Linked DNA regions of Arabidopsis thaliana. The protein of the gene in region 4 interacts with the protein of the main gene of each other region in a pairwise test. Each region holds a gene or a part of one and is shown on either strand. Other genes may lie near its edges.

The links.
Region 1: the proteins of IAA15 (region 4) and SPT interact in a two-hybrid assay, tested with the Arabidopsis thaliana proteins (one large-scale study listed by BioGRID).
Region 2: the proteins of IAA15 (region 4) and ARF20 interact in a two-hybrid assay, tested with the Arabidopsis thaliana proteins (one large-scale study listed by BioGRID).
Region 3: the proteins of IAA15 (region 4) and AT3G12910 interact in a two-hybrid assay, tested with the Arabidopsis thaliana proteins (one large-scale study listed by BioGRID).

The regions. Positions count from the first base shown.
Region 1 is NC_003075.7:17,411,761-17,417,732, reverse strand, and holds SPT (basic helix-loop-helix (bHLH) DNA-binding superfamily protein), read right to left. Parts: upstream 3,651-5,972; 5' UTR 3,567-3,650; coding exon 3,057-3,566; intron 2,825-3,056; coding exon 2,714-2,824; intron 2,642-2,713; coding exon 2,576-2,641; intron 2,479-2,575; coding exon 2,413-2,478; intron 2,319-2,412; coding exon 2,073-2,318; intron 1,995-2,072; coding exon 1,925-1,994; intron 1,841-1,924; coding exon 1,788-1,840; 3' UTR 1,347-1,787; downstream 1-1,346. Other genes in the region: NAPRT1 (nicotinate phosphoribosyltransferase 1), read right to left, coding at 19-153, 232-351, 421-565, 641-795. UniProt on the Arabidopsis thaliana protein: Transcription factor that plays a role in floral organogenesis. Promotes the growth of carpel margins and of pollen tract tissues derived from them.
Region 2 is NC_003070.9:12,926,481-12,933,392, forward strand, and holds ARF20 (auxin response factor 20), read right to left. Parts: upstream 4,044-6,912; coding exon 3,995-4,043; intron 3,918-3,994; coding exon 3,799-3,917; intron 3,634-3,798; coding exon 3,538-3,633; intron 3,440-3,537; coding exon 3,383-3,439; intron 3,288-3,382; coding exon 3,144-3,287; intron 3,065-3,143; coding exon 2,980-3,064; intron 2,889-2,979; coding exon 2,798-2,888; intron 2,722-2,797; coding exon 2,557-2,721; intron 2,451-2,556; coding exon 2,337-2,450; intron 2,248-2,336; coding exon 2,175-2,247; intron 2,083-2,174; coding exon 1,944-2,082; intron 1,798-1,943; coding exon 1,427-1,797; intron 1,342-1,426; coding exon 1,154-1,341; intron 1,065-1,153; coding exon 977-1,064; 3' UTR 823-976; downstream 1-822. Other genes in the region: AT1G35242 (uncharacterized protein), read left to right, coding at 4,764-4,916; AT1G35250 (Thioesterase superfamily protein), read right to left, coding at 6,566-6,685, 6,784-6,879.
Region 3 is NC_003074.8:4,107,417-4,112,312, forward strand, and holds AT3G12910 (NAC (No Apical Meristem) domain transcriptional regulator superfamily protein), read left to right. Parts: upstream 1-1,958; 5' UTR 1,959-2,000; coding exon 2,001-2,208; intron 2,209-2,402; coding exon 2,403-2,716; intron 2,717-2,842; coding exon 2,843-3,232; 3' UTR 3,233-3,433; downstream 3,434-4,896.
Region 4 is NC_003070.9:30,220,690-30,225,486, reverse strand, and holds IAA15 (indole-3-acetic acid inducible 15), read left to right. Parts: upstream 1-2,717; 5' UTR 2,718-2,784; coding exon 2,785-2,987; intron 2,988-3,079; coding exon 3,080-3,266; 3' UTR 3,267-3,467; intron 3,468-3,643; 3' UTR 3,644-3,858; downstream 3,859-4,797.

The DNA.
Region 1 (5,972 bases), on a different chromosome or scaffold from region 4:
TTTGAGAGGGAAACAAACCTGAGCTCTTCTAGCACCAAACTCAAGCAGAAGCTTAGATTTTCCTGCAACAAACCGATGTCTTGCTGCATTTGTAGCAACCAAAGATGCGTAATTGATGAGATTGAGGAATGGAGTTTCCAACAATTGCACCACCTAAGTAAAGAAGCACAAGAGGAATCAGAAACTGATCATTCCAATTATGAGAGTTAGAGATAGATAATAAGAACTCACAGCAACAGGACCTTCGATTCTGAGTAAAGGAACTTTAGGAAAAACAACTGATCCTTCCGAAATGGCATACACTTCAATGTCAGAACAATCAAGCCCTCGAAGATAATCACAGAAAGCTTCCTGATTTTTAAAAGAGTTAAAAAACAATGCCAAAAATCGAATCTTTTGGCAAGAGAGATTGTGTTATACCTCACATCCAGGTAACGAATCACGAACGAAATCGATCTCTTCATCAGTCAAATTGAAATTAGCGAGAAATTTGATGCATTCTTCTAAACCAGCAAAGATAGTGTATTCTCCACCAAAAGGATTCTTACGAAAATACAGATCAAACCTGAAAACAAAGATGAGATTTTACAGTGTGGATTCAAAGGATCGAACTTTTTTGTAAATTTTGAAGAATACTAACACAGATCGCTCAGATTGTTTGCCAGCTTTCCAATAAGCATAAGCCATGGTGAATTGGTAAAGATCGTTGAGCAGAGGTGTGACCATCGGGTTAGTGGGTCCGTTAATGACCCGACCCGATTGCTTTCCATCGAGACCATTTTCTTTCTTCTCCATTAGAACTCTGTTTTTGGTTCCGGCGTCTCCAGCGAGTTTATTTATGAGTGTTTTTTAGGAGAGGGTCGTCACTGAGTCTTTAACAAAAAGAGAATGACGAAACTTTAGTATCTAAATTTTTTTCAAGTTTCAACTACAGTCGCATTCAAATATATTTTGTTCTCTGATATTTTCACCGAAAGAGAATCCTAATTACTTTTCCTTTTTTCAAAATATATCGTTGTATGATTTTACTTTTATTGTTGTTTTACAAATAAAATAAAATAAATAAATTGTATGTTCAATACTAGTTTTTGAAAAAAATATAAGATTTATGTATTTTCAATCCAATTTTAAATAAAGTTCTAGCTCTGTCCCTTTTACTTACTAAAGATTAATTGGAGAACTAAAGCTATAAGTATACTAATTAAGGGTTAATAAGATATTTAAGCATTTTTTAATTATCATAAAAGATCTTAAAACAACACTTATAAATGAAAAACTTTTAAAAGACACTTACAAATGAAATTACTAATATACCAAATGTAAGTACAAAAATGTGAAGGGTAAAAGATTTTAAAAAATTGTATTGTAAATGATCAATTTGAGAACAAGAGATACCAAAAGAACATGGTCAACCTTAAAGATACCAAATCCATCTTGTAGAATCGAAAACTTCTCTAGAAGCTTATCGGGGTAATTTACATATCCAAAGCCATCGAGTATCAAACTCTCAAATACAATACGAAGATGATCTAGAAAATTTACATCCACCATAAACATACAACAATCTAACAATTAGTCAATTACTTTGTAATAAAATTTCAGTCCTTTTTATATATAGCTATTAGATCCAAAAGATTAGACTCTAGAATTCGTGTCACCAACAATTGATTTTAAATAGAACCTTAGAAAAAATAAAGACAGTTAAATGCATCTCCATTGTCAGACAGCTTTATGGCTTGCGTTCTAAGAAACAAGAACACATAGAGATCCCGAAGTTGGGACACTGTTCAAGTAATTCGATCTTTTAGGTCAGGTTGTCCATCAAACAGAGCTTGTTCCCCTGCAAATCCCCAAATATCGTAACGTTATTAACATTGTAAATGTCCTAAAACTTCCTTAGGATTCCAAAACAACAAGACTTTACCGGTTATGTTTGCGTTGGAATGACCAATGTTCAACCTTGGATGAGTTAACCCACCTTCCCGACTCATCTCCTTAAGTAACAAAAAAAAATTAGTAAGCAAACTAGCTTTATGGTTATAGAATGAAAAATGTGTAATTCAACTACGCACCACGGGTGAAGTAAGGAGAGGGAAAGGTCCAAAGTGACTGCGAATAGAAGGTTCCAAAGCGTATGAAGAAGCCACAGTATTGATCATTTCCGGTGCATTAGAAGTCGAAGCAAACTGATTGGTATGATTAAGCAGAGGATCATTGGTTGCTTCAGGGGGTCGAATCTGAGAGAGTTGCAATGGGTGTAATGTAGTTCCAGGTAAACACAAAGGATGCAAGTTTATTCCATTTCTCATAGTCAACATCTGCAAATATCAGAACAAAAAAAGACTTATGTCAGAATATAGACTGGTTTTAGGATTTTGGTTATAATGATAAACATAAGGTATCTTTAGTGACCTGAACTTGGAGCTGAAGCTGTTTCAGATACTCAATGGCTTCATCAAGCATTGAAGCCTTATCCGTCTTCCCCAATAAACACATTGCAATAATCAGACACAAAAAGAATCTACAGAAAATAGAATGATTCATGTAGATGTCTCTCTATATATAGTATCATTACCTTATTTGAATTAGGGATGAGACTTTGTAAAGCTTTCATTTTTTCATTAATTCTACTTCTCCTCCTCTGTTACAAGAAAGATAAACATAAATCTCAAATAAGAAAGTTTCTACTTTTGGGAGAGACTCTAAACCAAACCTTCTCAGAGAGATTATGAACTTCAGCAGCTCTGCATCTTTTAGATGAACTACGAGAAGAAGGACCTGACTTGGAAGAGGGAGCTTCATCAACTACAGCTTCTCCTCCTTCCTGTATTTTCATTGAAGCAAATTATCAAACACTCGGTGTGCATTCATTATTACACTCACAAATGACAAAACTTCACTCAAAATCACAACCAAAAAAATTGCGGATTTTAAGGGGGAAAATAAAGTACAGATCCGTTAAAGAGAAATCTCTGTAGAAACATTTTCTCGGGAAAGAGACAAAGAATCAACTTTTAAAACATGCAAAAGATAAAAAACAGAGATTGAGAAAAAACCTCGCTTTCACAGTCATACTCATCTGTCTCGTTGCCACTAGCTCCAACGGAAGAAGACGATACTCGAGTCCCAGAGCTATTTCCTTGAACGTTGTTATTATTACCACCACCGGAGAAACCAAAACACGCGGCGGCTGAGCCTGATCCTCCGCCGATTAAAACCTCAGAGAAATCTCCGACACGTTTCGACATAAGCACAGAATCTGACGGTGGATGATGAGAAACGAGACTTCTCGAGTTATCTGCATGTGGGTCACCGCTCCCGTGCACACCAATCAAAGACGCCGTCGTTGTAGTCGTCGCCGGGGAGTAGTAAGAAGGTAAAGGAGAAGAACGGTCGAAAATATGCCGGAGAAACTGAGAGATTTCGTCGGAAGAAGACGGAGGATGATGAAGATGATGATTGATACGAGTATCGTAAACCGAGGAAGAAGAAGAAGATGAAATCAATTTCTTATCTCCCATCACTCTCTGCTTCTTCTCTTCTCTTTCTTCTCTCTGTGATATCATTACACCAACAACAAAAAAAAAGCAGTTAAAGCTAAAACATTTTTTTTTTTAAACAGTCTTTGAGATTTTATGGGCATGGAGAGAGGGAGAGTGTCTGTCACGCGCCAGCTAAGAAAACAGAGGTTAAAATGATTGGTCTGTCATTTAGTTAAAAGTGAAGGTAGCTGTTACTGTAGCATTAGCAATGAGCTTGTGTCAGCTCACGGTTTTTCAAACTAGTCGTAAATATTAAATGTTTTTACTCTCCCAAAACTTTTCCTCGTCGCACGTGAGACACACTAAACTACTACTCGTAGTTAGTTTTTTTTTTTTTTGGGGTAACAAATAATATACAACCTTTATCTGTTTTCTCATAGTTTATTATTTAAAATGGAAATCTGCTACGGATGAAATCGATAAAGTTAATATTCATATCATTTAGAAGAAAACAAAAACTGTATTTGTATATCTCAAAGTTTAATCTGATGGAGAGATTTTTAAGAAGTCCATTAATCTATAGAAAACGAAAGTTATACGTCTTGGTTGTTTGACAAAAGTATTTCCATTTCTAGTAATTTGTTTTTTTACTTGTTACCATTAATTAGTATTCAAATTTTGTATGATATTGTAACCCGTGGCGTGATAAACAAGAATACATTAGTTGCTTGTTTGCTAGTTTATTCTATTGACTAGTATATAAGAAGCCCATGCTACTGACATGCGTTAAATTACTTGCGACTTTGATTTGTTCTTGTGTTGTGAAAATTATTAACTTTACGGTGTGTGTTTTCAACTATATACCTCGTTCGTATGCTTTCAAATTGGAACATAACATCTGCTATAATTAACTATCGAATTTTTAGTAAATTCATTTTATATGATCCAGCTTTATATCTAGTGTTTTATAGTAAGTTTTATAGAATAATTCTATAAATAATGATGACCACGTTCACATATCCAATTTGCGGCGAACAAAGTGAATGCACGAAAGTTTCCAATTGCGTTCTCAACTGTGCAGACAGCAGCATCAATTCTTTAATGAAGTATTTTTAAAATATTGGTCGTAAATTTGTAAATATATTTTGATCGTTCGCAGCGTATGAAGACTTAAAAAAAAAGAAGTTAAAGTTATATATATTTACACTATATAGTTGTTAGTAGTATTTTATTTTAGTTTTTGCACTGAAAACATCAATCGTACTTGTTCGCTTGATGAATGCACAAACTGCATCATTTATTTCATTGCAACATTCACTTAACCTCGTATATACAATTTTTGAAACAAAGGAAAAGCATATGGGAGACAATTGCTAAAAGCTGCAGCTATTTGTTCAGCATCTGCTTTTGATTCAATTATTTTATTAAGTTCGTTTTTCTGGTACTATTTATACATATACAAAATAATTGTTTTATTAAATATCAGAATTAGAAAGTGACATTGTAGAGTCCAAATGCTTATAGTGGAATTTGTAATTGAGAACATACACAACAAAATGCGAAAAAAAATAATGAAAAAAGCGTTTAATCGTCAAATTAAACAAGGGATCTGATTTTACTCAATTACTCAACATACATATCTCATTATTTTGAATATCCTTATCAAATTCAACAAGATATACACATAAAAAGACAAGATTTACTACGGCTTCTAGAATTGTCAAAGATATTAATGAAACGATGGTTGAGATCTCTTTAATAATTTGTTCAAAATCAGCATGATACACTTTTTATTTTGTCTAGATTCTAAGAAGATAGTTGAATGTTTTCTCTGGTTTTTTAATTGGTGGTTTGATAGAATTTTCAAGTTGAGTCTCTGTATGTTAAAAGACCCATACCTCGTTGTCTTGTCTGATTTGAAAGTCGGAAAACAAAATAAAAAACAAAGATGATCCTAAACTTCTTTTTCACCTTTTATCATCGTTTCCCTTTTTCTTTATATAAAACACTGGCAATATCATATTTACTCATATACAACTATTTACCCATCTAAAACAGACCAAAGTTTCCGTAATACATATGCACCATAACAAGGATAACATAAATCAAACTCACGCTATTAAAAAGATCAATGTTTTTTAAGTTGTTCGTTGGTAGTTTCGAAGACAAACCAACCATAAGTACCTTACGAAACTCCAGAAGAGATATATTGCAGAAGTAAATGATATGCATGTGTTACACTTAACACATATAACTACATCCTAAAAGATTATGCGACCTAAGGACAAACTCTTCTCACACAACAAAAACAGTTCTTACTCTGTTTTTTTCTCCAAAGCTTTTTTCTTTTCGTCACAAATTCTGTAGCGGTTATCTTTCTTTTTTTTTGGTCTAATGTTAAACTCGGTTATCTTTTTATTGTTCAAGACATCTATATATTGCTGATTTGGACAATTTACAATTCTCCATATGAAGATTGTTGGTCTCTTC
Region 2 (6,912 bases), about 17 Mb from region 4:
TTTTAGTTCTAACATCTCTTAATAAAATAAAACCATTAAAAAAAATACTTTCCTCAGCCGCAATGTTTAACTAGAAATTCTACATGAGAACAATAATTTACAAAACTACCTGAAATCAAATCCAAAGCAACATATGTTTGTACTCAAATGAGATTATAGACATAGCAATTTAGAATTGAAAATTGAATAGCTCATATGGAGCTTTATTGAAACGCAAGAAAGTAAAGTAAAGTAAAGAAAAACTTTTTAGATTTTCACCAAGATCTAATTGATTCTTGGATTGATTTCTTATTGAAAGAGAATTGGTCAAAAACGCAATTCTCTAGGTTAGTCGCATTGTTCTCTGTAAATTATTGTTATATAATAAATAGAACCAAGCAGCCAACATAGTAGTTAACTTTACTATGCTAGTTCATTGAATATACACTTAAAAATAAGGAAAAATGTCAAAACAAATCACAAATTTTTAAATTTGGGACGATTTAATCTACAACTTCACGGAAGACAAATAAATCGTAAAGTTTTTGTTGACTTTCTAAATAAATGACACAGTTTTTGTTGACTTGCCACTTGAGTCATGTCGTTAAATAGGTTAACAGATTTTTTTACGATGTTAATGTCTCGTTTATTTGCTCTGTTAAAACAAAACAACATCGTTTATTGTACGTCGTTTTGTCTGTTGAAACAAATTAAAGCCTAAATTCCCAAATCGTGTTACACAAATTTCTTTTCAAAATATCATAAAATAAATATTACACTCAAATTTTTAGAATGTAGATGTGATATGTAGATTGTATAAATTAGAAAGAAAGCTCAATATCACGACAACAAGAGGATTTTATTTCATTTATGGACGATGGAAACAAAAGTGCATAATACAAATGCATGCAACAACAAATAAGAGAAAAATAAAAATAGAACGAGACACCGATAACATTTTTGACCCCTTTTTATTACATATTTTTTTATTCTTAATTCAACTTGAGAGACTCTTACTGGACTTTAGGTTTTTGACCTCCTCTTTTGAATATATCAATATCTTCTTCACCATTTTGCAGAATTCACTACATGCAAACAACACAAAAATGAAATATCAATGTCTCTCAAGATTTTAACTAATCTTTTAATCAATAGAAATAGAAAGGAAACTCACGGCCATGGATCGTCTCCAACAAGCATCTCATACCCGTCACTATCTGTGAAAGCTATTTTCCATTGGTTGCGAGTTTGTAGTTGGCCTTTGAGATCAAAGAGCTTCTCCAATTCTAGTATTAGCTGATCATATCCATTAAGAACACTTAAATCCACAGCTCTTCCTATTGTTACACCTTGCATTTGAACCTGTTCCATATCAAGATTGCATGAGTTGAGTACAATGAGAAAAAGTTTCATATATAAGGAATAAGAATATTGATCTTATACTTACTTTGGTACAAGTTCTAGTAGAACCAAACTGCTTGCTTTGGATCTCTATTGGTGATCTCAAAGTTTGGCTTTGACCAAACTTTTTTCCTTCAGTAAGTTTCGAAATATCCGAGCCAATTTCTTCAATGGGATCTTTGATCACTAGAGGAATGGCTAGAGAGACTCCAAACAGCCTAAAATTAGTGACTGCCTTGGTTGTTATATTTTCTTCTATTTGTGTAACCATTTGGTTATTGTAATTTAGTTTGGGCATTGGTTGGACAGGGTAGCTCATTAGCAATCTAGAAGGATTCATAGCATCTTCAGTTGTATCACGATAACGAAGAGAAGTATTCATCGGGGAGGCGACGCTTAGTTGTCCAATTTCTTGTCCTTGTGTCAATATAGGAGGCAAGATATGTGATGATGAAGAACATGTATATAAAACAAGAATATTGAGAAGGTATTCAAGAGTCTCAAATTCATTAAATAGAAGATTAATCCTTTAAATAAAAGATTATAAGAGTGTATTTTTATACCGAATTCATTAACTTCTCGTAAACGCTTGTTCTTGAGCAAAGATGATCGCGGAACATTTAACGCAGACATTAAATGTTCGATCTCCCAGGGTGACACTTTATTAGGTCTCGAAAATGATGCAAATTCATCCCACTGAACCTGCAAAATTAAAGTTAATTAGTGATATGTTATTTATTGCACTCAAAAACGTATTCCTAAAAGAATGTTATAAAGTGTGAATGAAATTTTACTTCTAAGCTGCGCCACTCTGAACACTTCCAATGAGGAGAGAAATCATTAACTCCAATAATTGTCCCAAAATATCTTAATCAATTGAACAAAATGTGTTATCATTGATAATATTAAACATTATAAATATATTTATGCAGAAATTTTTTTTCATCTAATGTTACCTTCTTTCAGAGAAATCATCACCCTCAAACCGCATTGTAAATCTTGAACCGACAATGAACTTATTGTTCATAGCGTCTAAGAATTTGTCGTAACTGACAATAAATTGACTTGACCTGATACTTAGAAAGACACAAAATATAAACCTATATGTTGAAGGAACTAATCTATTGATAAATCAATATAATCTAAAATGTGAGTTCAAATGGTTCTTTGAATTACCTTGGCTTGTAAACCACAATGAATATACATTGGTTATCAAGAGCATGCTTTGCGGAAGCAATTACCCCATGTCTCATACAATCTATTGATACTATTGATGAAGGTATATTCCCTTGTTGATGTCTTGCTCGTCTGATACCAACTCGTAACTCTCCAGTCTCTCCCCTAAAACCACAAGTAAATAGTTTAAAAGTCCAAAACTCCAAAACCAAAAGATATATAACAAGAATCAATATTATACCTAACGAATACAATAACATCTCCTTTAACCAACTTTTTCGATGTTGTGAATTCATTCCAACCAGTTGTTAACGAATGTCTTTGCGGTGTACCTGCATGGAATAAGAAGATTATTAGTTACTTCTCTAGGATTTATTACCTCAATAGCTGTGTTTGAATGATTTGAATAAAATGAATTATTACCTCTATAGCTGTGTCTGAATCTCCATTGATTACCATGGAGATCTTTAGCAAGAAGTTCTTGTGCCGGTAGAGGCTGAGACATATCCTAAACCAAAATTTAATATGTAATGTCTAATGAAATCTTAAAATTCAAATTCATTTAAAAAAATTATAACATTAAATACCAGTGGAGGGAGACATTCAATGGCATGTTTTTTCGGAACAAAGAATCCACCATAAGCGCTTGTATCAGAGGCCGTTAAAACCTTCGTAAAGGAATTAACTAATGGCCTAAATTGATTTTCACTCTGAGTAGGGATTACAACTTGCTAAGGATTTAACAAAATCAGAAAATCAATGAGATATAATAGGAGAAAAATACAATTGACTGAAAATAAAAGAGAAATACTAAATTTTCACTTACAGTTGTATCTGGCATCAAAGTGATCTCAGCATAAGTCTCATCACTATTGTTTTCCACCTAAAATCAAACATCAAACAATTAACCAATTACTTCTTTTTACAATGAAATCAAATATAGATATCATGCGTATTTGCTAAAACATAATAGAGATATACCTTAAGATGAATTGCAATAACACGGCATTGAAGCTTAGAAGGAAGATCACAAATTGGTTGTAACTCATTCAACTCTTCTCTTGTAGATGCATCAACCTGAAAAGGCCGTCAAAAGGTTTCATACACAAGAGAGAGATAGAGAGAAAGAAGAGAGAGAGAAGAAAGGGAGATAGAAAGAAGAAAGAGAGAGAGAAGAGAGAAAGAGAAGAGAGAGAGAAGAGAGGGAGAGAGAGAGAGAGAGAGAAGAGAGGGAGAACTCACAAGCTCTATATTGCCTTGAGGAAAGTAATAAACATTTTCTCCAAGTTTTGGAATATCACACAAAGGTCCCGCACAGAGTTTCCATAACTGCTCGTACATATAGCTCTTGGATCCATCAACTGCCGAACAAAAACCAAAAAATTATAACCAAAACAAGTTTTCAATAAGAGAAAATAAAAAAGTTAAAATTTCTTACTTATGCCTGATAATTCAGGTTGTGCATTCACAACGTTGCCAGTTTCCATAACCTCGTATCCAAATATCGGTATACCAAAATATGTTATCTCAACAATTATTATAAAACTTTCTCCCTTTCCTCAACTTCTCTCGCGACCATGATAGCACAAAATATCACATTTATAGGTAAGAACTATCAAAATACATTAAAATACTTCCTTAGATTTGAATACTAAATTTAATAAGGTTACCAAAAATTAATAAAGGTAATTTAGAGAAATGTCATTAATATTTTGACTACACATAAGAAAATCAATTTTCTTATATGTTTATTGATTAAGTTACCAAAATCAACATATGCATTATTCATATATAAGTTGAGTAATATAATACATTTTTAATACTTACAATGAAAAAAAATCTTTGAATTTTGTTTATAGATAGCCATATAAATTTAAATAGGAGTTCTTGCTAGCTTTTTCTTTTCAACATATGCATTACTCATATATAAGTTGAGTGATATAGGAAAATTTTAGTACTTACAACAAAATATTTTTTTCTATGAAATTTGTTTAAAAGTAGCCATATAAATTTTAAATATGAGTTTTTGCTTGATTCTGATTGCATTAATAGGAATTCTCTAGCATTATGATCAAACCTTTCATATGGGATCTATGGTACATCTCATGTTAGGTTATTTTTTTTTTGCTTCCTCTTTAAGTTTTTAAGGATCCCATATAAACCGGCTTTCTCATATATTGTCGCTCTTTGGAGAAATTTCCAAGGGCATGTTCTCTTTTCCATTTAGCTTCCCCTTTCCATTTAACTATGATGTGAATTTGCATGTATCCGATGCCTATTGGGATGTCTTTGGTATCAGGGGTAGATCACCGGTGGTGGTGATGGTTTGGCCTTACAAGGGGATGTGGCTTATAGTATGATGAATTCCATCAAAAATGTACAAGGGCTTCTCGCTGCCTCTCAACCTAAATGTCAGTTAAGCATTTTTGCTCTATGTTTTATATTGATAATTATAATAGTTATTAATTATTATTAATGATAATTATTTAGCTTATAGAATTTTTTTTTATCATCTATAGAGAAATTATTAATTGAATAAACTTATTTAATTCATTAATTCAATAATTTAAATGACTAATTGTTTTATCCAAACCATTTGCTAAATGAATTAGATTGACTCATTATCCATTAGAATCTAAATTTATATAAATATAGATTGGTTTGATTTGGTTTAACCAACTTGACATCCGTAAATATAACACCCACAAAAAAAAAAAAATTATAACACATTAGTCAGACAACATAAAAAAAACTTATAACTCATCTTCTTCTTATAACTCATCTTCTTCTTATAACTCATCATCTTCTTCTTCTTCTTTTGTTGAAGAGTAAATTCACCAAGAGAGCCGACATGGAGATAGAGAAGATGATTGTTGGGTCTGCGGTTTGTGATAGATGGAGATTTAGGGTTTAAATTTGTTTTAACACACAAAACGACGTCGTTTTGTCCTTGCAATAAACGACGTCGTTTTGTCTCTGTAATAAATGACGTCGTTTTGTCTCTGTAATAAACGACGTCGTTTTGTCTCTACAATAAACGACGTCGTTTTGTCTCTACAATAAATGACGTCGTCATAAAAAATAAAATTGTTAACCTATTTAACGACATTACTCAAATGGCAAGTCAACAAAAACTTTATTTATTATTTAGGAAGTCATAAAAAACTTTACGATTTATTTATTTCAGTGAAGTTGAAGATTAAATCGTCCCAAATTTAAAAGTTTATAAAATTTTTAATATTTTTGCCCTTAAAAACACTTTAACATTTTTTCTGAAGATATACAAATATATATGGCGCCAAGTCATAGTATTATTGACTATAGAAACCCACACGATTATAAGACGAAATATAAATTTAATGGATAAATTGGATGTACAAAGAGATATATAACATAATATGAATAAAAGAAAGAAAAGAGAACGAGTTTCACAACATGTACAAAAATCATAAGAATGTCACAGGAGTGGACATAGAGCGGATATCATGAATTTGTGTGATTTTTGATTAGTTTCCTCTGTTCGATCGGCCATTTGTTTTTATCCATACCCGTTCTGTAACGACTTATGTCAAAAGATAGATATTCTGACCGATATTGATTACTTCAGATTTTGTTTTTTTCACCAGTTACGTGATAAGATTTTTAAAATAATTAATATATAGCAAATTTCAAAATTCAACAAACAAAAAGCACTATTGATATATTTTAGGATTAATGTGATGAATACAAATTCATAAAAATTTAAACCTAGATATAATAAACTATACAGTTTAAATATATATAATTATATGTATACATATATCATCACATATATCTTGCTCTTCAGATTTTAGTACTATGATTTGCCTCATTTTAATAGGTATTAAGTTTGAATCTTTGTCCAAAAAAAAAATTTGAATCTATGTTTTGGTCTGTAAAATTATGGATATTTATATTTTCTGCATCAAATCGAAATTGTAACAAACCAAAATATATAGGTCATAAATTTTGTGATGCCCTAGAATGTGGATCAATCGACCAAGTGTTGACACTGGAAGTGACCAAAATATGAGCGTACATGAGATGGGACACGAGTAGGCCGGTACTTGTTGTCAAGCCACACAGCCGTTCCTTTTGCCTCCAAAATAGGCTGCTTTGTCAATTATATACCAAAAGGATCCTAATTAATCAAAACTATACACAAGCAGAAAACCAACACAAAAGGCTTGATGGAGCAACTAAATATACCTCTTGATTTGGAAGTTTAAAGATGAACTGTTCAAAGTAAATGCGCACCAAAGATATCCCCGATATCCTCGTTTTCACCACAAACCTACATCCACTCTGCTCGAAGATATCAACATAAATACAAACATT
Region 3 (4,896 bases), on a different chromosome or scaffold from region 4:
TATGTTTGTTACTTCTATTTTACATCAGAACTAGATTAGTTAATATTTTCTCTGTACGTCCAATTTTATAAATATTTTGGCTACAAACACACATATTAAGAACTTTGTTTTACTTACAAAAATAATTTAATATTTTAGTTAAAAAAATAATAATAAAGATAAAAAAATGATCACAAAATATTAAAAGCGTTTAAATTTATATAGAAAATGTAAGATATAAAGTATATCTAATAGAATGAAACAATATTAAGATAGTATTAGTTCTTTTTAACATTCCAATGAAATTTGATAATGTTTGTACCGGAGAATGATTCCTTCTCTAATTTTTTTTTTTAAAATAAAAATAAATTTTCTAGTTCTAGACATGTACATCTTTATCATATTGAGGATTAAAATATTATGTATGATTTTCTTCTAAATACCATTCGAAATCAGTGACTTTTAGATTTTATTTAAAATATTTTACTCGTTGTGCTATTTGTACCGGGTACTTTTACCAAAAGCTTATCTAAAAAAGTGGTAAAGATTTGGACAAAAAAGTCAGAACCAACATTACTTGAATAACGTTTTTTCGTAGAGTGAGTTTTGACAATGAGCAGTGTATTAATGGGAGAGACTCTTTCAGTGCAGTGGAAATTGTGGTTTCTGAATATAATAGGTAATTATGGTGACAATAATTATAAGTATTAGTATTTCCACTACTTTTAAATAGACAGCATATTTCCACAGCTTTAAGCACGCTCCTCTGATCGAAATTTCGCCTCGTGGATTTTGCAAATAGTGTTACAACAATTACCACCGGATTAAATATGATTTTTCTCATATTTAAAAAAGAAAAAAATGTGGTATAGTAAGTCATGTTGCATTCTTCAGAAAAAAGTAAGGCATTACAAAAATGTAAGGTCGTCCAGTGAGATGGTGGAAGATAAGCTTCATTGTCCAGAGAGAAGTAGTTTGGAAATAATTTTAATTTATGATATATAATGGATATATATGTACGTAAAATAATTAATTGTTGAGATATCAATCCGAATGAAGATGTAAGATCAACATAAACGAAGAAATCCGATATGCCGATCTTTGAAAGTATGGTTTGTTAATGAGTTTCAGTATTATTAATTGGATCTAGATATAATTTGGAATTAATAAGCTTCTGGGGATTGGTTGGCTACTAACGACGGTTTATGAACCATCCCGTAGCTGTAGTTATCAGTTGCAACGATATTAAAATAAAGGGACAAGAGACGAGTTTAAATTAAGACCAATTACTTTCAAGTTCAAAAACCAAGCTTAACTAATAACTACAATAACCAGTAAAATATTTTGGAGAAGTGAGAAAGGAACTGACAGGTAATATTCGGTTTTTATTTGGTGGATCTGTCATTGTCAATTTCGGAGAAATTACCAAATAGAAAAATAAAAAATGTAACAATATTCATATTTTTTCTTTTTAGTTTGTTGATCTCTCCAAGACTCCAAGTTAAAATCTCCAAACGAAGCAATACAAATCTTACCTTTACGAGCACAAAGTCGGATTTATGCGTTTAACGTCATGATGATTAGTAGATGTTTTGTGGTGGTCAAGAATATAATATGCAAACAATTAATGATGGGTCTAGAAGAAGTTAATGTTGTAACAATGAATACTCGTCAGACATTTTGGAAGAGAACACACAAAAATTAAATTTTTGTGTGTCAAAAAGTCAGTCCTCTCCTTAGCGTTTTCCTTGCGTCCTAATAATGCGAAAGGTAAAAGCGTCATATTTATTGGGTCCACGTATAGATGCGAAAAGACTCGTTCTAAAAACTCAAGCCCAAAAGACTTTTACCGGGTCGGATATATCATTGATTACAAAGGATCACTAAGTCAACAGAAATGACTTGACCAAATCGATCTTATGATAGATAGACACACGACACAAACTCTCTTTATATAAATCTCAAGAAGATTCTTATATGTGAGTCCAAAGAGCAAAAAGGAAGAAATAGAAACCAAAGCCATGGAGAAGATGATAGAACCACGGGACAACACAAGAGAATCAGAAGATGAGGATGCGTTAAAGCTTCCAGGGTTTAGGTTTCATCCGACGGATGAGGAGCTTGTAGGGTATTATCTCTCTAAAAAAGTGCTTCTCAAAAAAACGAGCAAGATTGATGAGATCGTCAGCCAAATTGATATCTATAAATTTGATCCGTGGGATCTTCCAAGTAAGTTTGTTTTACTCACTCTTGCTTTTTTCTGTTTTTTGCACTCCAAACCATGCAAACACAAATAGAAAAAAAATTAGGTCTAACTTTTATGAGAAAAACAAAAGTAAAGTCGTGTATGCATGTTTGTGAAGTAAAATTAACACATAAATTATTGTTATAAACTGATGATCAAACATAATTTTTGTTTGAAGGGTCGAGGAATACAGAGAAGGAGAGCTACTTCTTTTGTAAGAGAGGAAGGAAATACAGAAACAGCATAAGACCGAACCGAGTGACTGGTTCCGGTTTCTGGAAAGCCACAGGGATAGACAAGCCTGTCTATTCCGATGGATCCAACAAAGCCGTGATCGGTCTAAAGAAGACACTCGTTTATTACCTAGGAAGCGCCGGGAAAGGAAACAAGACGGATTGGATGATGCACGAGTTTCGTCTCCCTACAGCCAATGACACAATCCCCGGTGGCCCTACACACTCTAACCCTACTCCAACTTCCTTGCTACACGCGGTAAGTTTGCTATCTCTTGATCATGATCATGCATGGTTGGCCACTATAAACGCTTCACATGGCAAAAATACATAGGGTTTGAGAAAGAATGCTCATGGATGGTTCTTATTAACTATATAATTGCAGGAAGTATGGACGTTATGCCGGATATTTAAGAGAACTGTGTCTAGTCGAAAATACACTCCGGACTGGAGAGAATTAGCAAATGGCAAACGTGTGAAGCAGCAACAATCTAATTACCAAGAAGCTTATATAAATTTTGGGGACAATGAAAGTAGTAGTAGTACCAACGTGATGAACGTTAGGGAAGGCAAAGGGAACTACGAGAGAAGCGTTTTCCAGCTTCAGCAAACGCCTTATCAACATCAAAACCAGCCAATTCTCATGGACACCACACACGTTGATTCGTTTCAACATTTCTCCAACGATAACATTCACCATGAAACCTACGAGACTTGGCCGGACGAGCTTCGATCGGTTGTGGAATTTGCTTTCCCACCTTCTTTTCTTAGTTAGATCTCTAGAATAATTAACAACTAATATGTATACATATTACATATTACTAGCTTGGACGTGTTGTATCATCAGATCTCTACTGTATACATGGATCGTGTGTATATGAATATGCACCTGTTTGAATTCTCAGGTTGATCCACACGTATATAGTATGTATTAATGTCAATTTAATCTCGGGAACTATTTGCATATTTTGTTTTATTAGCCCTCTTATTTTATGTTTTTCGGTTAGACGAATAGTGGACTTGTGGTCTTGTTATCTTTAATAAAGTAACAAAAGCGTTTAAAAAAACATTAAGAAGCCCACAAAGGAAACAAAGCCCATTAGGTGGAGGAGATGAAACGATGGAACTTCTTGTCTTGTCACGGATGAGAGAAATATTGGAGAGAACCATTGGAGAGAAAGCAGAGTTACTTGCCAATTTCGAATTCTGAGAGCGAAGAGCCGAGATTCTGTTTGTAGTTTGGATGATGAATACGATTGTTCATGTTCCTTTTATCTCCAGATTTCGTAAATTCGTCAATTTAAGAGACGATTAGCTCAGTTTACAATCGAGTCAGTATATATCGAATTAAACTGCAGAGGTTTTGGGTGTTCCCGAGACATGACTAGGATATGGTTCAATAAACAGTTGGAATTGGCGTGAAAATTGTAGATAGGTTAAGCTTTATACTTCAAATCATGCAATCGAGTAGTCTGATATCATTTTACTGACTGATTCCACTGGTTATCCAGTAGCCAACTATGTACGTGTGATTGATTGTGTAGTAATTTCCGTCTTGTACTTTGTAAGTTGGGTTCTTATTCTGCTGCATTTGGCTATTCCGTGTCTGATGACCTTTGTTTTTTCCTTTTGCAGCTTTGTTAGAGTCTCATTTAGATCCATGTCTCTTTGCTTTAATTGGTCACAATGCTTCTTCTGGTTTTATTGCAGCGGAAACGGTTTATTGAACAAACGAAGACTCTTTATGGTATGAATTTCCTGGCATCTGTTTCAAGTTTACTTTCTAAAACCTGGAAGTTCGGCACATGAGCAGTTCCTTTTAGAACAGTTTGTTTACTTAAACCTTTGACGCCCTTTTGTGTACTGGTATAAACCTCCTGCCTCTTCTCTCATCTGTTTCAGGCTTCGATTCCACCCTTCATATTACAGTCGCAATTACAAACTAGTGTCAATGAGAGAACCCAATTCGATCAGAGGTATGCTTTCTCTTCTTGACAACAAGTAAAGTAAACAGGGTTTCTGTTTCTCCACTTCCTTTTATGGTTTTGGTTTTGAAAAGTGAAATCTTTATGTGAAAGTTCCATTTTTTTGTTTTAATAGGATTTGAGATTAATGAGTAATTTAAAATAAGTGAGCCTATTTAGGCCCTAAAGACAAAAAAAATCCTAACTTTTTGTCTTTTTTTATTAAACTAAAATATCAGGGTCATGATTTACAATCTTTATTTTTTCTTGATACTTTTCATGATTTTAGTTTGTAAAAAAAAATGTATAAAATCATAAACCAATAACACCATAATTAAAATCATTAAGAATCATAGATTCATTTGTTTTAGTTTAATAACATCAATTTTTAATGACTTTATTAAATTATGAATCTAATAACTCAAAATTTATGAAGACTTTAGATTATTTTGTATAAATCAAAATCTAATAACAC
Region 4 (4,797 bases):
ACCCAAAACTGGAATTCCAACAAATTCAATCGTAGCATAAGATGATACGGTCTTGAAACACAAATTCGGAAATTACCGAAAAAGACAGAAGATCGAAAACAGGAAGAAGAAGAAGAGTAGACGATAAAATGGTAATGAAGCCTTTTTACCAGAATTGGAAAAGCTGCGAATAAGCTATTGTTGAAACCTTCTTCGTCTTCTTAGTACTTGTTGTACTCTTCTTCTTTTTCATTCTTCACAGGAAGACAAATAAAAAAATAGGAATCGGCTGATTTTATTTTTGCAGCTTTCGCAGAGTTGCAGTAAATAGGGAGAAGACTGATTGATTTATTAGTTTTTTACTAAACTCATGATTACAGATTTCGTCCTTCTGTCTTAAATCTTTAACCGTTGGATCTTAAGGGTTTCTATGTACTAATCTGATCGGACGGTCGTGGATGACTCCTTGTTTAGAAGGTGCTTTGTTGAGTTTATTACCTGATTAAGCAATTTCCTTCCAGACAAAAACAAATCTCATAATAGTCTGAGGTTTATTGATTTGTCTATTCCCAAATCATTTCTTAAAATTCTATAATGTTTCTTTTGTCATTCTAAATTTTAAAATTATACTGTAAATGTTATTGATATATTTAGTTCTTAATAGAGTTTTAAACCCTTTTTTCTAATGCATGTTAAGACAAAGAAATTTAATATGAAGTTCATTATAGAGATATGACACTCTAATTATCTGGAACATAACGGAATAAGATCTTAATCAAATTCTGGATTCCGTTATGTAGATTTTTATGGAATGACAACAAAAGAAAGAAAAAATAACTGGGCTTATTTTGGGCTTGATACCATAATGGCATTATGATGTATCAAATCTGCCATGATGTATTCTTGACCCACTGTAGGAAACCTGGATTGGTTTGGGCTTAATTGGATAAACAATCTGTATAGAATTTACTGGTTTCGTAATTCTCTAAGTCTCGGACCGCTCTATTATGTTATCGCAATTTATTATACCCAAGTAAATGTCCAAGACATCAATATCAGTTTTCTAGAGCCTAAAAGCAGTTTCGATTATTTGAGACAAAAAGTATCAATTAACATTAAATACTAGCTACCAAATTTATGTACTTCTTATTATTATCTCACATATTTTGTTACGAGTCGAGTTAAATGAATTATACGACTGTTTCATTCCATGCGCATTATAACGAAAGAAAACAAACTTAGAAAACAATGGCTGACCGGAATTACCGGTCACGGGTTTGTAATCGAAACCGGTAAATTCGTCTATGTGTCGCCAGTAGGACCTATTAGCCCCTGGTTTAACTCTTATTGCCCTTATTGGTCTAAGAATAGTGTCGTGAACCATCGAAAAAATCATTTATGATTCTATGTTCCCCAACGAAAAACAGAGTCACGTGACTTACGCATGTGACCCTACGCTGCTGTAATTAATGTTCTGCTCTTTTCCTTTGTCTAAACTTTTTTGACATCTCATTTCATATTGCATGTAAATAATATGACTAATATGAAATTAATACCGGACACTGAAAAACTTTTCAGTAAAAACTTTATACTTGTTCACTAAAAAAGGGATAGTTATCTATCTCTAACTTTTTTTATCCCAAATCATGAAACTTTTAATCGCTTTTATACAATGATTGATGTTCATTATATATTTTATTTTAGATTTTATTTCAATTTTGAAGTAGAAGTTTCAACATTTAGTTCTGTTCACATTGTTTTTTTGGTGGGAACATTCTTTTCATTGTTTACAAGATCCACACGCATATTAGTTGGGATTTCTTCTGATATTCGGTGAAAGATTAAACTAATGAAGAAGTATTGTACCTAATTAGTGTGTAGTGTACGATGATAGATAATTAGGAATATATTGTTAGACCATGATTTGTTTTCGACCGACGACAGTGAAAGTTGATGTACATATATAATGGTGAAACTTTTTTACCAAGAAAAAGTTAGTTGGAATGATAATTTAAAGGAGTAAAGCGACAACAAAGTGTAGACAAAAGGAACACTATTGAAGATCTCTCCCGAAGAATATATTGGACTGAAGTTTTTTTTTTTTGGTCTAATGTTAAATTATTGGACTGAAGTTGACAAACACAAACAAATATATATGGGAATAAAGTTTATTATATTTTCCAACGATTATAAGCAAAGGTAACATGAATGCGATTAAAATGATATTTTCAACTCTATTTAGAAAGTAAATAATGGTATTTAGAATATATATTTTTCTCGTTTTGTGAATGCTAGTGGATAATATAATCAAATTATATATTTTTCTCCTTAATCGAACCCATCAGTCGTGACGTGGGAGCTTAAAGATCAGGGCTGATTTCTTCTTCTTCTTTCTTCTTTTTTAGTTGACAGTGATTTCTTCTTCTTCTTCTTCTTTTGATACCAGGCTAATAGAAATTAAAACTGAAAAGATATCCGTACACATGCAATTACATCCACTAATGACAGTTTAGAAGATGCTAAGTGGCTATAACTATAAATGAGCCCACACCACACGAAGTAGAAGCTAATCACCAAACTGTTCACTTGCTTTCGTGGAGATATAAAAACCGCCAGTTACAGGAAAACGTGTCATTATAGGTAGGGTTCACTAGTTTTTTAGCTGACAAGTATAGATCGACTATAAATACAAAGTTGGAAACCTCGAGAGTCTCACACACTCAAGCCAAAAGTTAGTGCCACATTGTCTCATCACTTTCCGCACTTTTGTTGTTAACTAACTTTCATAAATAGATTAAGATATTAATGTCACCGGAGGAATACGTTAGGGTTTGGCCGGATTCCGGTGATCTTGGAGGAACTGAGCTGACCCTAGCTTTGCCTGGCACTCCGACAAATGCATCGGAAGGTCCAAAAAAGTTCGGGAACAAACGTAGATTCCTCGAGACCGTTGATTTAAAACTCGGGGAAGCACACGAGAACAATTATATCTCAAGCATGGTCACTAAGTACGGCATATATATATTATATTAATTTCATTTATCGTTCATATAGGTCATATGCATGTTTGATTGATCTTCTTAATTTATTGTGGTTTTAGTGACCAGTTGGTGGGCTGGCCGCCGGTAGCGACAGCGAGGAAAACAGTGAGGCGGAAATACGTGAAAGTGGCGTTGGATGGTGCGGCCTATCTCAGAAAGGTTGATCTTGGGATGTACGATTGCTATGGACAGCTTTTCACCGCTCTAGAAAACATGTTTCAGGGGATAATAACAATATGTAAGTGATCGAGATAAGTAGGAAAAAATAAAGATTTTGATGTGTTTGGATGGACTGACGAAGTGAAGGATATTATGGTAAATTTACTTACACTTGGGGTTTTGGATGGTGGTAGGTAGAGTGACAGAGTTGGAGAGGAAGGGAGAGTTTGTTGCTACTTACGAGGATAAGGACGGTGACTTGATGTTAGTCGGAGATGTGCCGTGGATGTGAGTTCTCGGAATTACCCTTTGTGTTGCTTTTACGTACTTTTCCTTTTTTATTCAAAACTAGAATTTCTGTACTATTTTGTTACTTACATTCATATCAAAACTAGAATTACTGTATTATTCTGCTGTGAAGGAAACTAAATTTTCTTGGGATTGATGATATTTAATTTGTGTAGGATGTTTGTGGAATCTTGCAAACGTATGAGGTTAATGAAAACCGGAGATGCTATTGGATTATAGGTCTCTATTCTGCTTCCCACAACGTAAACGCATCGGATCTTCGAAAGGCTATATAAGATTATGATCACAAATGCATTAAATACTGTAGAGATGTATACAATTGCATTTTTGAATTGCAATATGCTATATATGTAATTTCAAACCTTTTTTGGCCGTGGATTTTGTATGTAATGTACTACTATTGTTTAAATGATTTTACTTTTTTTTTTTTTAATTCAATAATTACAAACCACTTTTAAGCATCAGTGCCGACCACCACGATCCGGGCATGACGACATCGACACTCGACAAGACGGGATGCTCAAAGTTTTAATATGTTTTTTTTAAAAAAATTACACGTTTCATTTTTATGCATTCGAATTTGTGCATTAAATGATCCTAGAGATCGTAATATAAAAGCGGATTTTTTTTTTTGTAAGAATGCTAGGTCTTGTAACATTTTTCTCTAGCACTCGTAGACCTTACTGTTATTGATTACATGCAGGAATATCAATAAACGAAGAACTAAAAATGGAATTGAATACTTGAGATTGACATTAAATTATCCTAGAGATCGTAATATAAAAGCGGATTTCTTTCTTGTAACATTTTTCTCTAGCACTCTGTATATATCTTATTGTTATTGATTACATGGCGGAAACATCTATTATCAATAAACGAAGTGCCATTTGAAAATTTAAAATTTTAACATTTATCCAAAAATAAACTTATAGTTTTAGTAGTAATGTAAAAATAGAATTTTAAAAACATTTGTTAAAAAAAAAAACAAGTGTTAAAAGTTTAAATAGTGTGTAAACCATTTTAAATCTAGGACACTTTTTAGGGGTTTGCATGTTGTGTCCAAATATATATACAAAATTTAAAAATTTAACACTTATAAAAAACAAACCCTTATAGTTTTAGTAGTAATATAAAAATACAAGTTTAAAAACATTTGTAAATAAAAGAAAAAAAATGTTAAAAATTTAAATAGTGTGTAAACCATATTGAACCTATGACACCTCTTAAGGGTTTGGATGTTGTGTCCAAATATTTACACAAAATTTAAAAATTCAACACTTGTAAAAAATAAACCTTATAGTTTTAATAG